Linked DNA regions of Cricetulus griseus. The main gene of each other region encodes a partner of the protein of the gene in region 2 in a complex. Links are inferred from orthologs where the notes say so. Each region holds a gene or a part of one and is shown on either strand. Other genes may lie near its edges.

Region 1 (7,421 bases), about 65 Mb from region 2:
TTTAGAGAAACTTCTCAGTTTCAGGAGGTCCCATTTATTAACTGTTGCTCTCAATATCTGTGCTACTGGTGATCTATTTAGGAAGTGGTCTCCTGTGCCTATGAGTTCAAGGATATTTCCCACTTTCTCTTCTATGAGGTTCAGTGTGGATGGATTTATATTGAGGTCTTTGATATTTTGATTTGAGTTTTGTGCATGGTGAGAGATATGGATCTATTTGCATTCTTCTACTTATTGACAGCCAATTATACCAGCACCATTTGGTGAAGATACTTTCTTTCTCTTTTCTATTTTATATTTTTAGCTTCTTTGTCAAAAATTAGGTGTTCATAAGTGTGTGGGTTGATATCAGGGTCTTCAATTTGATTTCATTGGTCCACCTGTCTGTTTTTATGCTAATACCAAACTATTTCATTACTATAGCTCTATAGTAGAGCTTGAAGTCAGGGATGGTGATGCCCCCAGATGATCCTTTATTGTATAGGGTTGTTTTAGCTTTCCTATGTTTTTTTTGTTTTTCCATCTAAAATTGAGTATTGTTCTTTCAAAGTCTGTGAAGAATTGTGCTGGGAAGTTCTTGTCACCGTCTCGGAAAACAAAACAAAAACAAAAAACCAAAAAACAAACAAACAAACAAACAAACAAGAGTTTGGCAATGTTCCTTCTGTTTCTATTGTGTGGAATAATTTGAAGAGTGTTGATATTAGTTCTTCTTTGAACATCTGATAGAATTCTGTGCTGAAACCATCTGGGCCTGGGCATTTTTTTGGTTGGGAGACTATTGATAACTGTTTCTATTTTCTTATGGGTTATAGGTGTATTTGAGTTTTTTATCTGTTCTTGATTTAATTTTGGTATGTGGTACTTATCTAGAAAATTGTCCATCTCCTTAAGTTTTCTGATTTTATGGAGTATGGCCTAGTTTTTATGATTTATTTATTAGTTTATTTATTTGAATTCTGGTCTCATGTACCCCAGGTTAGCTTTGAATTCACTCTGTAATTGAGACTAACATTGAACTCCTGATCCTCCTGCCTCTGTCTCCCAAGTAGAACATCCTGTAGCTCTTTTGCCATGCCTGACCTGATATAGTTTGTTTTGTTTTGTTTTTTTTGAAAAAGATTTTTTATTATGTTATATTTAAAAATACGTATTTATTTTATGTGCATGGGTGTTTTGTGTGCATGTGTGACTGTTGGCCTTGTGTGTGTCTGGTACCCATCGAGGCCAGCAGAGGACATTGGAGGACATTGGATACCCTGATAATGGTGTTACAGATGGTTGTGAGCCTTTATGTAGTTGCTGGAAATTGAGCCCTGGTCTTCAGCAAGAGCCAATACTCTTTATAGCTGAAACATGTCTCCAGCACCCATTATTTATTTATCAACCTATCTGTCTATCTATCTATCTATCTATCTATCTATCTATCCATTTATTTATTTATTTATTTATGATTTTTCAGGACAGGGTTTCTCTGTGTAGCCTTTGTTGTCCTGGAACCCACTCTGTAGACTAGGATGACCTCAATTTCACAGAGATCTGCCTACCTCTGCCTCCCAATTAAATGTGTGCACTTCCACTACCCAGAAAACTTTCTAAAAATATGTGTATATGTGTCTGTGTGTGTGTGCATTTGCACAGAGGAGTGCAGTTCCCATGTTCAGAAGAGGACTTAGGACTCCCTTAGGGCACATATTAGCATACACAGCACCAATCCCAATTCAGTCCACCCCAACTCAACACCACAGCCTCAAGCTCAACTTCCTTTTGAGTATCTTCTCAAGACTGGTGAGGTCCCAGCTGGGAACTGCAGCTGATATCCCCAGTGTGGGGGTATCATCCACCTTTCTATTTTGTGGTTGAACCTTTTTGTTGTTGTGTAGAAATAGTTTTCAAGAGATCAGCTCACATAGCTAGATGCATCTTTCCAGGCCAGGAGAAACCACTGTATGAGCTTGCAGGAGAGAATGTCATGCACACAGAGTAGTAGTGAGACCCATGGTGGATCTTCTTTCTTTCTCGAGACAGGGTCTCAAGATATAGCCCTGGCTGTTCTGGAACTCACTCTGTAGATCAGGCTAGCCTCGAACTGACAGAGATCCACCTGCCCTTGCCTCCCAAGTGCTAGGTTTAAAGGTGTTTCGCCAATATGCCCAGCTGAGTTTACTTTAAGAAAGGGTCTCCTGTAGGACATTTCGTCTCACTGAAAACTTCCTGTGTGCTAATGATTAAATAAGTAAATAAAATGCCAATTACTTTAATTTACATTAAGTGTTCAGAAACAGTATATTCTAGGTCATTTTCTTTCTCTTGCCTTGCAGCAGAAGGTGCACAGATAACGAAAACAAATGCACAGTCACACAAATAAAAAGAGGAAACAGTTGGATGGGAACTTTGAAATCACATGACTGGTGACTAAGTTTGTTCCTTCTTCCTCACTGTCGAGTCTGATGATCTTCCCTGAGTGTGGAAAGTGTTGGAGATATTAAATCATGTTGCCATTTATTCTCTTTTCCACGCTGCTTCCTCTCATATTTACTGAATCTGAACAGCAACTGTGGTTCTGCAACTCCTCCGATGCAACTTTTTCCTACAGTTACTGTGGTAAGTGACAAGGCAACAAATAACTGCAGCGCCAACTATTTTCAGAGAAAGTTTTCACAGAACCCGAAGCTGAGGGCAGGCGAAAATGTCTCTGTGGCTCCAGCTGTGCGGGCTGCTGAGGTCTGGGGTGGGGATGGGGATGGGGGATGGGATGGGGTAGGGGCGGAGCAGGCCGACCACTTCCGGGTGTGGGTCTTCTTCCACTCACTGCCCACTTACAGATCTCCGAACCGTTTGTTTTTACCTCCGTGTGCTTCTGTTGCTGCAATGGTCAGTCCCCTCCACTCCGAGCACAGTTTCAAGCTCTCAATTCCAGCAGAACTGTTTGCTTTTGAGTCCCAGCCCCGACACAAACTGGTTCCTTCTGAGAAAGCAGACCCATAGCTGCTTCCTGGTGGGGGTTTCCGCTCCAGCCTGTGGTCCTCTAGGGCTAGTGCGTGCAAGCATCTCTATTCTTGGGATGTTAACCTGGTCTCTCCACCGATTGTAGGACTTGAGCAAAGTACTTAGACATTCTCTGCCTCATTTTTTTTTTTTTTAGTTGCAAAATGAAAGTGATTTTAGAGTTCACTTTATGAGGCTTGCTAGAGTTAAGAATTTTACCACAGAGTCACTTAGAAAAAGTAACGCTGATTATGGATTTATGCAGTAATTATTATTACCCTATAATTTGTTTTGAGACAGGGTCTCACTATGTAGCCGTGGTTGTTCTGGAACCAGGCTATCTTAGAAATCACAGAAATCTGCCTGCCTATACATCCAGGGATTAAAGGCATGCATCACCACATCCTGAATATTCTATTTTAGACAGGTTATCAGTATATAGCCCTGGGCTGGCCTAGAAATTGCTAGATAGACCAGACTAGTCTGGAACGAAAGAGATACCCCTGCCTCTGCCTCTTGAATTATTTGCGTATTTTTGCCTGGAACTCACTATGCTGCCCTCAAATTCAGGCTCCCTGTTGCCTCAACCTCCCCAGTGCTGGAACTGCAAATATTTTTCAGTTGAGATAAACTTATATGCTGTTGGTTCATAATTAACGTAATTGTCACCGCACAACTTCTCACTAGCAAATGCCTGGGATCTGAAGACCTAGCACTGGGGGCTTGATAGTTTCAGTTTATTTTCTCTTTCGTTGATTGCTTGGTTGGTTGTCCATTTTTTGTCCTGCCTGGAAATATCTGGATGGTTGGAAGTCGATTCCTTCCGAAATGCCAGTTCTTTGGAAAGCAGGATCTTCAACCTAATCGTCTGGAAATGCAGAAGGGACTTCATAGATGCACCGTGACAACTCCTGCAGTACTGCGGGCTTCCTTCCATGGTAAAGAAGCCCGCCTAATCAGTGTCTCCAGCTTGGTTATTTTGGGGGATGTGCTTGTGAAGCACTTTGACCACAGTTAACATTTATGCTTCTAGAGCATTAGGAAGTTCAGTCTGCTAGCCTCTGTTTTCTTTCTTTTTGGCCCCCCATTTTGTCAATTTACTTATTTTAGTGATATGTGTGTGTGTGTGTGTGTGTGTGTGTGTGTGTGTGTTCTAGGTATATATGTACAGCATGTGCAGGATGGTGTGTGTGTGTGTGTGTGTGTGTGTTCTAGGTATATATGTACAGCATGTGCAGGATGGTGTGTGTGTGTGTGTGTGTGTGTGTGTGTGTGTGTGTGTGTGTGTGTTCTGGTTATATATGTGTACCATGTTCAGGCTGGTGCCCCCAGAAGTCAGAAGAGGCCACCAAACTCCCTGGAATTGGAGTTACAGGCTACTTTGAGCTGACTGATATAGGTTCTGGGAATTGAGCCTGGGCCTGCTCTTATTTACTGAGCCACCTGTGCAGTCCCTACACTACTTCTTTTGGTAGGTACTACATTGTGACTCTTATGCCTATTAATAATGTATAATAAAAATTATTCAGCATTACTCTTTTAGTAGCAATTTAGCTCCCTTTGTCTTTGTGTGTTTGGTTGTTTTTTGATATAGAGTCTCTGTATAGCACTAGCTGTTCTGGAACTTGGTATGTAGACTAGGCTGGTCTCAAACTAAGAGACCTGTGTGATTCTGCCTTTTGGAACTGAAGGCACGGGCTACCACACCTGGCACACACCTGGCTTCCTTAGTCTTTTGATGAGACTTTCTGAGGTAGAATCTGCCCCTTTGCTCTGTGACACCAACAAGTCCTGTGGACATTCCCTGAAGCCCCCCAACATGAGGCTGGAGGATAGCAACGAGGGTCTCTATTCGATGGCCCTGCAGGCTGCCATTCCAGAGTGTTAGCACTCCCTTGCCTGGGAGAGTTCACTAAGACAAAAACACCTCCCTTTGGAACACATTAATTCCTTTAAAGTCGGTAGGTAAGTGTTAGTGACAGTGACAGCTGATTCAGTCCTGACTTTGAGGACAATTTTCAAGAAAGAAGAGAGGTAATTTTTTTTTTTTATCTGGGTAGGCTTAGTTATTTTGGCTTGCCTAACAAACACCATACCAAGTGTGGTAGTGCATGCCTTTAGTCCCAGCACTGGTGAGGCAGAGGCAGGTGGATCTCCTTGAGTTCAAGCCCAGTCTGGTCTGCAGAGTAAGCTCCAGGACAGCTGGGGCTATACAGAGAAACCCAGTCTGGAAAAACCAAAAACTAAAACAACAACAACAAACAAACAAAAAACTACCAACAACAACAAAACAAACTCAAACCAACCAACCAACAAAACAAACAAACAAAAACACAAATCACTATAGTTTAGGGAACTTAAATAAGAAAAAGTTATTTTGGACTGATCTGGAATTCAAAATCAAGATTTTGGCACATTTGAATTCTTCGTGGCTTGCTGAAGAGGTGGTTTTTGAATTCATATGCTCTTCCAAACACATGTCAAATCTATTTGCCATAATAGCATTAAGAAATGGAACATTTTGTTGTTTGTTCTTTTTGAAGCAGGGTTTCACTGTAACCCAAGATGACCTAGAACTCACTGTGTAGTATGGGTTAGCCCAGAATAGCCATAAAATTCATGGAGATTCTTCCAGCTCAGGCTCTGGAGTGCTAAGAGTAAAGTATATGCCACCACATCTGGCTTATATGGCAACCTTTTAAGGCCCACAAAAAAATTCTACTTGGACTGGGCATGGTGTTTCATGTTTCTAATTCTAGCATTCCTGAGGTCAAGGCAGGAAGATTGTTGCAATATTGAGGCCAGCTTGATCTACATAGTGAGTTCTAAGCTAGAGAGTAAGATCCTGCCACAAAACAAAAATGAATGAATGAATGAATGAACGAATGAATGAATAAATAAATAAATAAATAGATTGCCCTCAAGAGTCTGGCTGACTCACTTGAATTTATTTATTTGTTTTTCATAGATTTATTTGTTTAATGGGGCCTGAATTGTGCATAGCTAGGCATGCATTCTAACATTGAGCTACATCCCTCACCCAACTTGAATTTATTTTGGACAGGCATCCACTAATTCTAGCAACATCTTCTACCCCAGGTAGATAGGTGATATTGTTACATCCAGTCCACTGTGTGCCACAAGGAAGAAAAGAGACAACACATAAGTGGGTTACTGATTTGGACTTGGACTAGGGAGCTTTGCTTCTGGCGGCCCTGAACAGGGGCAGAAGAGGGTTTCTTTCTTTCTTTCTTTCTTTCTTTCTTTCTTTCTTTCTTTTTTTTGAATTAGAAACAAGATTATTTTACATGTTAATCCCAGTTCCCTCTCCCTCCCCTCCCCCTACCACCCCTCCCCCAAATAAAACCCTACCTATTATATATATATCCTTTCTTCTCCCCCTGGAGGGTGAGGCCTTCTATAGGGTGTCATCAGTGTCTATTGTATCCTTTGGGATAGGGCCTAGGCCCACCCCTGTGTGTCTTGGCTCAGGGAGTATTCCTCTATGTGGAATGGGCTCCCAAAGTCCACACCTATGCTAGGGATAAGTACTGAACTACTACAGGAGGTCCTGTAGATTTCCGAGGTTTCCTCACTGAAACCCATGTTCCTGGGGTCTGGATCAGTCCCATGCTGGTATTCCAGCTATCAGTCTGGGAACCAAGAGCTCCCTGATGTTCAGGTCAACTGTTTCTGTGGGTTTCACTAGCCTGGTCTGGACCCCTTTGCTCATCACTTGTCCTTCTCTGCAACTGGATTCCAGTTCAGTTCAGTGATTAGTTGTGGGTGTCTGCTTCTAGAAGAGGGGTTTATAAGCACAAAAATCACAAACATTTGTTGCCAAGTTACAGTTATAATTTTCACCAATCAGAAGTCAAAGATTAGGGACTTTTCCTTGTGTGGTCCATCTTTGTCAACCTATACAAAATGGGAGCTCTTCCGTCCATCCAATCAGATTCATTTGTTCTTTCTCTTGTTGGGAGCAGCCACAGTAAGAACTAAGGGGCATAACTGACTGTTTCTATGGTTTAGGCAGGAGGTTTGTCAGTCAATGGAAAGTTCTCATCTCCCCTAGGGCTTGGGAACTTGAACTGTGTTTCATCCTACAGGTAAATGGAGTCTGAAGTCAAAATGGTTCTTAGGTCGAAGTGCTTTTTTTTTTTTTGCATGTTCCCTTCAGTGTCACCCACACTCATCAAAATTCCGGGATTAGTGAGATGGGTATTAATTATTTTTGGATCTCTGGAGGACTGGAGGTGCTAGAAGACTGTATCAATTCTCTCTAACGATGGAAAAGCTGAGAGCTTGGAGTTTCTGTCTTCACACATGCTGAGTAGAGGGGAGAACCAGGAAGTAGCGTCTGTCAGCTCAGACACCTTCTTCCCTGCTTTGCTGTGTAGCTAGACTGTGCCAGATTATCAGAACTCCAAGAT
Region 2 (7,375 bases):
GAAATCACATAGCTTTCTAAGCATAAGCATTCTAAATATGAGTTTCTATAGGGAGAAAGAAAGAGAAAAAAAAAAAGAGAGAAAATGTTTTCAGTTTTACAGGTCAGAATGTAAGATTTGGAAAACAAAGTCATTTGAGAATTGTCACCTAATCATAAGTCATGAGCCATAGACCTGACCTGAGGATATGTAATTCTGATCCCTTCTGCTCTACTCATGGTGTTTCCCCAGAACCTTTCAATTAGCTTCCTATGTGGGCATTTCTTCACCGGCAGTGTCACATGTAGAATTATGTACTGTTCTCTGACATTCATATGTTGAAGTCTTCATCTCCCATTGCCTCATCCTGTGACTTCGATTTAATGAGATAATTAAAATAATGTTCTATGGTTCTGCCTTAGTACAGTATAAGCAATATTACTTTTAAAACTGCACTTGCGGCATGCAGCAGGTGGCCATGTTGGAGTGGTGGAGGCAGCACAGAGGTGCGTCCTGGGTCCCGGCGGCGGGCTGGTTTGTGGATACCAAGGCAGATCTGCAGTGCCTGATGCCATAAGCATGGTAGTGCACCATGTGGAGGAGAAAGCTGTACACTCCTGGTCACGAATTTCCACAGCAGGGAAGAAAGCCCTGAAAGAGCCACTGCTTGTGTTTAATCCTAGGAGCCAGGATCTCAGTGCCACAGAAGCCCAGCTTGTGGCCTTCCTACAGGGCCTGCGAGATGATGGCTTCCAGGGGACCATTCTGTGAAGTGGTGATGTCTATGGCTTTAGTTCATGCACAGCCACCGCCCCCCAGCCAGACAAAGCTACAAGCTCGTAACACCAACCCATCTGCCACATCTCTTCCATCCAGGGCTCCCCAAAGTGCTGTGTTGCAACCTGCAATCCAGCCACACTGCTCCCGTGCCACTGTTTGGCAGGCTGACTAAGGGGTCCACACCGGCCCTCGCCAAGCATGCTACCACTAACTTGCTGCTGAGCTCTCTGAAGCAATCAAATGCCAGCCACACCAGTGGTACAACAGTAGGCTTCCCTGCCCACCTCTACCCAGGTGTCTACCCTGACATACGACTGTCTGTGGTCCTTGAAGCACTGGTTCCACTCAAGATTCCTTGCTTGGGTATTAAGAACAGGGCACAATCACTGCTGCTGTCACTTGCAAACTCTACCCTGAAACTGAGAAAGGTTCGGGGAACCCACAGTCCAAAGCATCCCAGAAAATAACAAGCAAAGGCATCAAATGCCTGAGTAGGAAAGGCCCTGGGGCTGATCAACAAGGCACTGGGCCCCGGAGCAGTGGCCTACGTGTGAAAGGGTACTCTGCCTTGGGCACCAAAACAGTGCGGGCCAAGGCATCTCGAACACTGACCAAAGCTGCTCATGCCCACGCCAGCCTAACTCGAACCCAGAACAAGTCAGTAAGGGTCAGGGCCAAGACAACAAAGACCAAGCCCAGGGCAACAGGAGCCAAATCCAAGGCCACTGTAGTAAGGGACAAGGCTAAAGCCAAGGTGGTCAAGGACAAGCCAAGGCCAAAGCAGCTCAGACCAAGTACAAGGGAAGGCCAAAAGGATCTGTTCAGAGTAGAACTGGAAGGACAAGCCTGAAAAGTGGCTCTGAGTCTGTGGGGAAGAAGAGGAAGAAGGCTGAGGAGGTAAAGGGTCTTCCTCCTAAGAAGAGAGCACAGTTTGTGCTCCAGTCTTCTAAGGCAAGGCTGCGGCCTAGAGCAAAACCACGAAAGTCCCAGACTATAATGGAGCACAGAAAATTCTCAGAAGATGAGGTTCTACAGTGGGCCCAGCAGATCCTCCGTGTGAACCTCTCTCCAGTAGTATGGCTCCAGCCATTGCTACCATCTTGATTCCATACTCAGCATCCTGAGTCATCCTTGGCAGCAGTGCTTGGGAAAACAGTTGGGCTGTCCATGTGACCAGTATCACAGTGTGCTATGCTCGTGGACTCTGCAGCTTTCCAGACTCTGGGTACCTCCAGGACCCCTGTGGTCACCATCCTCTTTTCAGAAGCTGAGGATTTGGGGTTGGGTGGGTAGCGGTCTGGGTGTTCTCATGGCTCAATATACTGTGACTTGTTCTTCTAGTTGTACATCCAATGTTCCATCTATCATGTTTTATATCTTTCCACAAAAAAAAAAGAAGCAGGGGGCCGGGCATTGGTGGCACACACCTTTAATCCCAGCACTCAGGAAGCAGAGACAGGTGGATCTCTGTGAGTTAGAGGCCAGCCTGGTCTCTAGAGCGAGTGCCAGGATAGGCTCCAAAGCTACACAGAGAAACCCTGCCTCGAAAAACAAAACAAAACAAAAAGAAGCAGGGCCTGGGGAGACATGTCAGTAAAGTGTTTTATGTGCCAGAAGACCTGCAGACTGCTAGCACCCTCATAAAAACTGGATGCTTTGCATGTACCTCTAACTCCTGCACTGAGGTAGGGGCAGAGAAGACTAGATCTCAGGAACTCACTGGCCACTCAGTCTAGTCAATGAATGAGCAGTCAATTAGAGACCCTGGCTCCAAAATTGCAGTGGGGTCTTCTGAGTTTTACCCTCAGCTCACTAGCCAACTCTTATTCTTGGGAATGCATTCCCCTTTGTAATAAACTGTGTCTGTTCCTTTCTCTAACAGTAATAATAATAGTTATAATTAATAATTAATAGTAGCAGAAGAATGGAGACAAACAAGGAAGTCATCCAACAGTGAACTCTGGTACACACACACACACACACACACACACACACACACACACACTTGCAAGTGTACACAGAGAGTACACACACATGAAGTATTCATCCCCCCCATGAATAAGCAGGTACACATACACAGGTGCGTACACATATACCCAACCAAGAAAAGATCAGGACACAGACACACCCCACAACATCATTTTTCTGGCTTCCACCCTTCAGAATTGTGAGAAAATAAGTTTCTGTAGTTTGTAACACCCAGTGCAGTACTGTGCCGTCAGATACCTAGAAGTCTAGCTTGACCACTAGTGAAAACAAAACAGGAATGTGGACGTTGCTCCAGGCACATATACTGGCTTCATGAGTATCTGGTTACTTTCTGCGTTCCCCAAGCCCAGAGGTCAGATGACTTCCTGGGATGAAAGCCAGCTTCCTCTTGCTGTTCCTCCACAGGCTGGTCGGCAAACGCCTTCTTCCTGTTCTTTCCTTAGTCTTCTATCTAGCCTCCTGAGATAGGGTAGATACATTCTAGAGAAAGAAAGAAAAAAAAAAAAAAGTGAGAATGCTAAGGTTGCCACTCTCACTTCCTCTCACCCTTAGCCCAGAACATTTTTTAATATAGTTCTTTCAGAGGGGCACCCGCCCAGAGAGAAGAGGCCGGTGCCCCAGGGACTCTGCCTTGCCAACGGCTACAGTTAGTTCATCATGCTTTCTCACGGCCTCGGCTGGTTGCAGAAAATGCCAGGATGATGCCTTCTTTCTGCCTGGCTGGGACACTGATGATGGCATTGTTCCTCTCCTCCCTGAGACCTGAAAGCTTGGATCCCTGTGTGGAGGTATGTGTCTCGACCAGCTCCTTTCCTGTTAGCCTCCCTTGTTTCTCAAAACTCTCCCTATGTCGGAGCTTCCTGCTGTGTGTTCTGATTTGTTTATTTTGCACACAGGAGTTAAACTAACCAAAAACTTGAGAAGCTGTGAGGACAAAGAGACTCTGTGTTAGCAGGGCAGCAACAGGCAGCCAGTCAGTGTCTTGTTCTGTTTAGACTTCCGAGCCATGATTATTAAAGACTTGAAATTAGTAAAACTAAGGATATTGTTTCTGTGACTTGGCTGAGTGACAGCCAAGAAGTTACTGAACCTTTCTGAGGCCAGTTTTCACACTGTAAAAGAATTACAGTGCTCACAGGGGGATTGGAGAAGGCTAGTAATAGCAGGCCTTTCTGTTGGTACTGTGGACACTCAGCTTTCAGAAGTCATTCCTTTCCTTTCCTACTCAGGTAAAGGTGGCTGTCATTTCTGTCTCTTAAGTAGCATCTGTGTATGATGGAGTGGTCGATCAGCAGGTTCAGTCAGTTGCTGACAAGCCTGACTACCTGAGTCAATCTTCAAGCCCCACATGGTGGAAGCAGAGAATCTACTTCATTCTCTGAGTTCCAAGTGTCTGCCCTGACAGTTGTGTGCATGCATGAAAGTGGACACACACACACACACACACACACACACACACACACGCACGCACGCACGCACGCACGCACGCACGCACGCACGCGCACACACACACATGTTAATAACTGTAATTTTTTTCCAAATGAAAGAATTTTCTGAGAATTTTAAATTCTACCACTAATTTTAGAAAATAATGAAATGGGAGGGAGGGAAGGGGAAAGACAAACGGGAGGAAGATAAAGACAGAGAGACAGAGAATGAGATAGACAGAGACAACAGAAAGAGGCAGAGAACAATGTAAAACATCAGCTAAGGCAGTAATTCCCTTCTTGGTGAAACAATGACTAGTGAGTAATATGATTCATGACTAATTCTTATTTTCTCACTGCACAGACCACACAATTATCTCAGAAGCTCACAATAGAGCTGAACAAACAGGGAAATAATTTAGGGCGAGGCAGGCTCAGAAGCTCAAGACAGGTATTACAAGTTGGAGTCACGGTGTTGACCTGGAAAAAATATTATAGCATAACAAAGACTAACTCCTTGCTATCTCGGTATCTTGTCTTCTGATTCCTTAGTTATGCTGACAGAGATAGAGTTTCCAATCAGTTTCATACTGAGAAAAAATCCTGTGGTATATACTGTACTCTGGAAACCCCCATAGTCAGCCTGTTTCTTCCATAAGCTCATGTCTCAGTTCCATGGGCCTTGTCTCCAGGGATTATGACTGGTTCCCTAATTTGCTGTCCTTTCTGTAACCACACTTTCATCTCTATTTGTTTTCACCGGGCCAGAGGACTGGATTTATCAAATTACTCCTTTACCATTTTTAATAACTCTTTAGTGCCTCCAAGGCTGTTTTTCCTACAGAGTAGTTTCACTGCTTGTCCTACCCACACAACCCCTCCCCTAGATCAGAGCTGTCTTATGATAAAATTTTGGGATCTGCTTATATAGTTTAAAATGTTCCTGGTGGTCAAACTGAAAAAAAATGAGTGAAGTTATTTTTAGTGATATATATTATATAATCAAATATAGTCCAACTATTAAGAAGATAGTTTATGTTCCATTTTTGCTACAGAATATTAGAAAGTCAGCAATATTTTATGTTTACTACAAAATTTGATTTATACTACACACATGGTTCATGTTCAACAGTTGTCTGTGACATATAGCCACAGACAGAATGTAGGACTTTGATTTCAGGATTTAATGTTTCACTTTCACTTTATGTAGATCTCTGTAAAAGGGTCTCCCCAGGGTGTTTTTTCTTGATTCCCAGATGGAGATATCTGCCTTTGGCCTCTTTGTGTGTGTTTTCATTGATCATATCATATCATATTTTTGTCTGTTTTTAATTAGTTATCCTTCCTTTTCTGCTGGGTTTATCAATATGCCACCAGTGTCTAGATCATAGTAGGTCTTTAGTTTGTATGCAAATGAAAGAATGACTGCTGGACAATGTCTGATGCTCTTGTGTTCAGGTTGTAGCTACCCATAACTTAAGGCTCTCCTCCCTTGCCTGTTGCTAGCCAATTCATCTGAATTTGTTCCTACCCTTTACTTGCTTATGTTCTTTTCTTCTTATGATTTACATTTCTTCCCTTTTCCACATGTCAGATACTGCTCACCTTCCATGTTCTGGGTCTACAATCAGTCTCTATTACCTGTGAACCAGGCTTGCTTTGTAGGTTTTAGTCCCTTTCCTTCTCTTCTAACTGATGTTGAGTTCGATGACAACTGGAATTGTACAGCATTTATTTTTGTACTGCTCATGGCCCTTAGCAGAAAAAGCCTACCATTTGGTTTACATGGACCTCTGTTCACCAGGTATAGAATTTTCTATCATTCACTCATGCAACAAATAGCTAATGGGCATTGACAGGTCACCTTGCAACTTTCTGAGCCTTGGAGACAATGTACCAAACAAAATCATCAGAGCATCAAAGCTCATAATCCAGTTCATCAAATGAACGACATTTGGAAAATAATTATATAAGCAACACAAAGTTGCTCTGTGATTGAAACCTATGAAGGAAATAAAAGAGGGCAAGTGAAGAATTTCTTCCTGACACCTTATTCTATTAGAAGCACTCTCTTTAAGGATACTATGGTAAGTATCGTGTAAGCAGACAAATGTGAACATACATGGATAAATCCTTTATGTGCATTACCCCATCTTCTCATTTTTCCATCTTTAAAAGATGTTTTGAAGATTAACATAAAATACATAACATGTAAGTAAATTGTTGATATACAGCAAGGGATTAATAATAGCCAATGATAATTAACATTAATATTCATCACTTTAATTATAGCAAGCTTTGAGATAAGATCTGATCTCATTTAATCCTTTGAGAATTCTATTTCTTTTAAATAAGAGAAAGCAAAACTCACTGGGTTAAACAAAGAATTTTCTGGAAGAAATCATGTAATTATGAAATTAATTGGAAGGTTATGGAATAGGGTTTACAGTAAATATGAGAAAATAGATAAAACTAAGTGGGGACTATAACAGCACAAAACACTTGGCCTTGATCAATGGATTCCATGTACTCTAAGACTTCCTCTCATTCCTACACCAAGTTGCTAAAGTCAATAAGCCAAGAAAGAAAATGTAATTGTCTAAAATAGGTGGTATCTAAAAAATATCTGGATGTCTTCATTGGTACTCTCCATGTGTCTGTATATAATTAGGATATGTAATTAGAATGATAGTAATTTTACATAAAACTATGTATTTACAAAATATGTGTATTTTACATAAAACTAATTAAATTAGCTGAAGGTATTATAAAACAAACATTGTCTCATTCTCAACATTCATTAGTTTGTAGAGAGTTGAGGACTCCTGAGCTTTTTACTCTATCCATGGTAGCATGTCTTGTTGTCATGTTTAGGAAGTCATGTTAATGAGGCTTCTTTTTTTCCTTTTTAAAATTTAAATTAGAAACAATCTTGTTACATGTCAATCACAGTTCTATCTCCCTCCCCTCCTCCCCTTCCCCACAGCAACTCCCTATCCCATCCACTTTCTGCTCCTCAGGGAGGGTGAGGCCTTCCATGAGGGATTATCAAAGTCTGTCTTTATGAGTGTAGTTTCTGACATTATTAGGAGACACAATATCACAATAAACTTGTTCCCTTGGATATTATATTATATTATATTATATTCTTTCATTGCCCCGTTTTACAATGACCTCTGAGCTTTAGATGCAAGTGTTTT

The links.
Region 1: the proteins of Tlr4 (region 2) and Ly96 are in contact, whole or in part, in a crystal structure (PDB 4G8A), measured with the Homo sapiens proteins. The link is inferred for Cricetulus griseus from reciprocal best matches to the Homo sapiens genes TLR4 and LY96. Residues at the interface, in NP_612564.1 of Homo sapiens: Gln39, Met41, Glu42, Asp60, Ser62, Phe63, Asp84, Ser86, Arg87, Thr110, Gly111, Val132, Val134, Glu135, Asn156, His159, Ser183, Ser184, Asp209, Leu212, Arg234, Val259, Glu262, Phe263, Arg264, Asn265, Glu266, Arg289, Ala291, Tyr292; in NP_056179.4 of Homo sapiens: Met40, Tyr42, Ile66, Pro67, Arg68, Arg96, Ser98, Asp99, Asp100, Asp101, Tyr102, Ser103, Phe104, Arg106, Leu108, Lys109, Gly110, Glu111, Thr112, Thr115, Thr116, Ile117.

What each region holds. Positions count from the first base shown.
Region 1 is NC_048595.1:144,327,547-144,334,967, reverse strand, and holds the start of Ly96 (lymphocyte antigen 96 precursor), read left to right. Parts: upstream 1-2,466; 5' UTR 2,467-2,492; coding exon 2,493-2,604; intron 2,605-7,421. UniProt on the Homo sapiens protein: Binds bacterial lipopolysaccharide (LPS). Cooperates with TLR4 in the innate immune response to bacterial lipopolysaccharide (LPS), and with TLR2 in the response to cell wall components from Gram-positive and Gram-negative bacteria.
Region 2 is NC_048595.1:79,142,935-79,150,309, reverse strand, and holds the start of Tlr4 (toll-like receptor 4 precursor), read left to right. Parts: upstream 1-3,197; 5' UTR 3,198-3,446; coding exon 3,447-3,536; intron 3,537-7,375.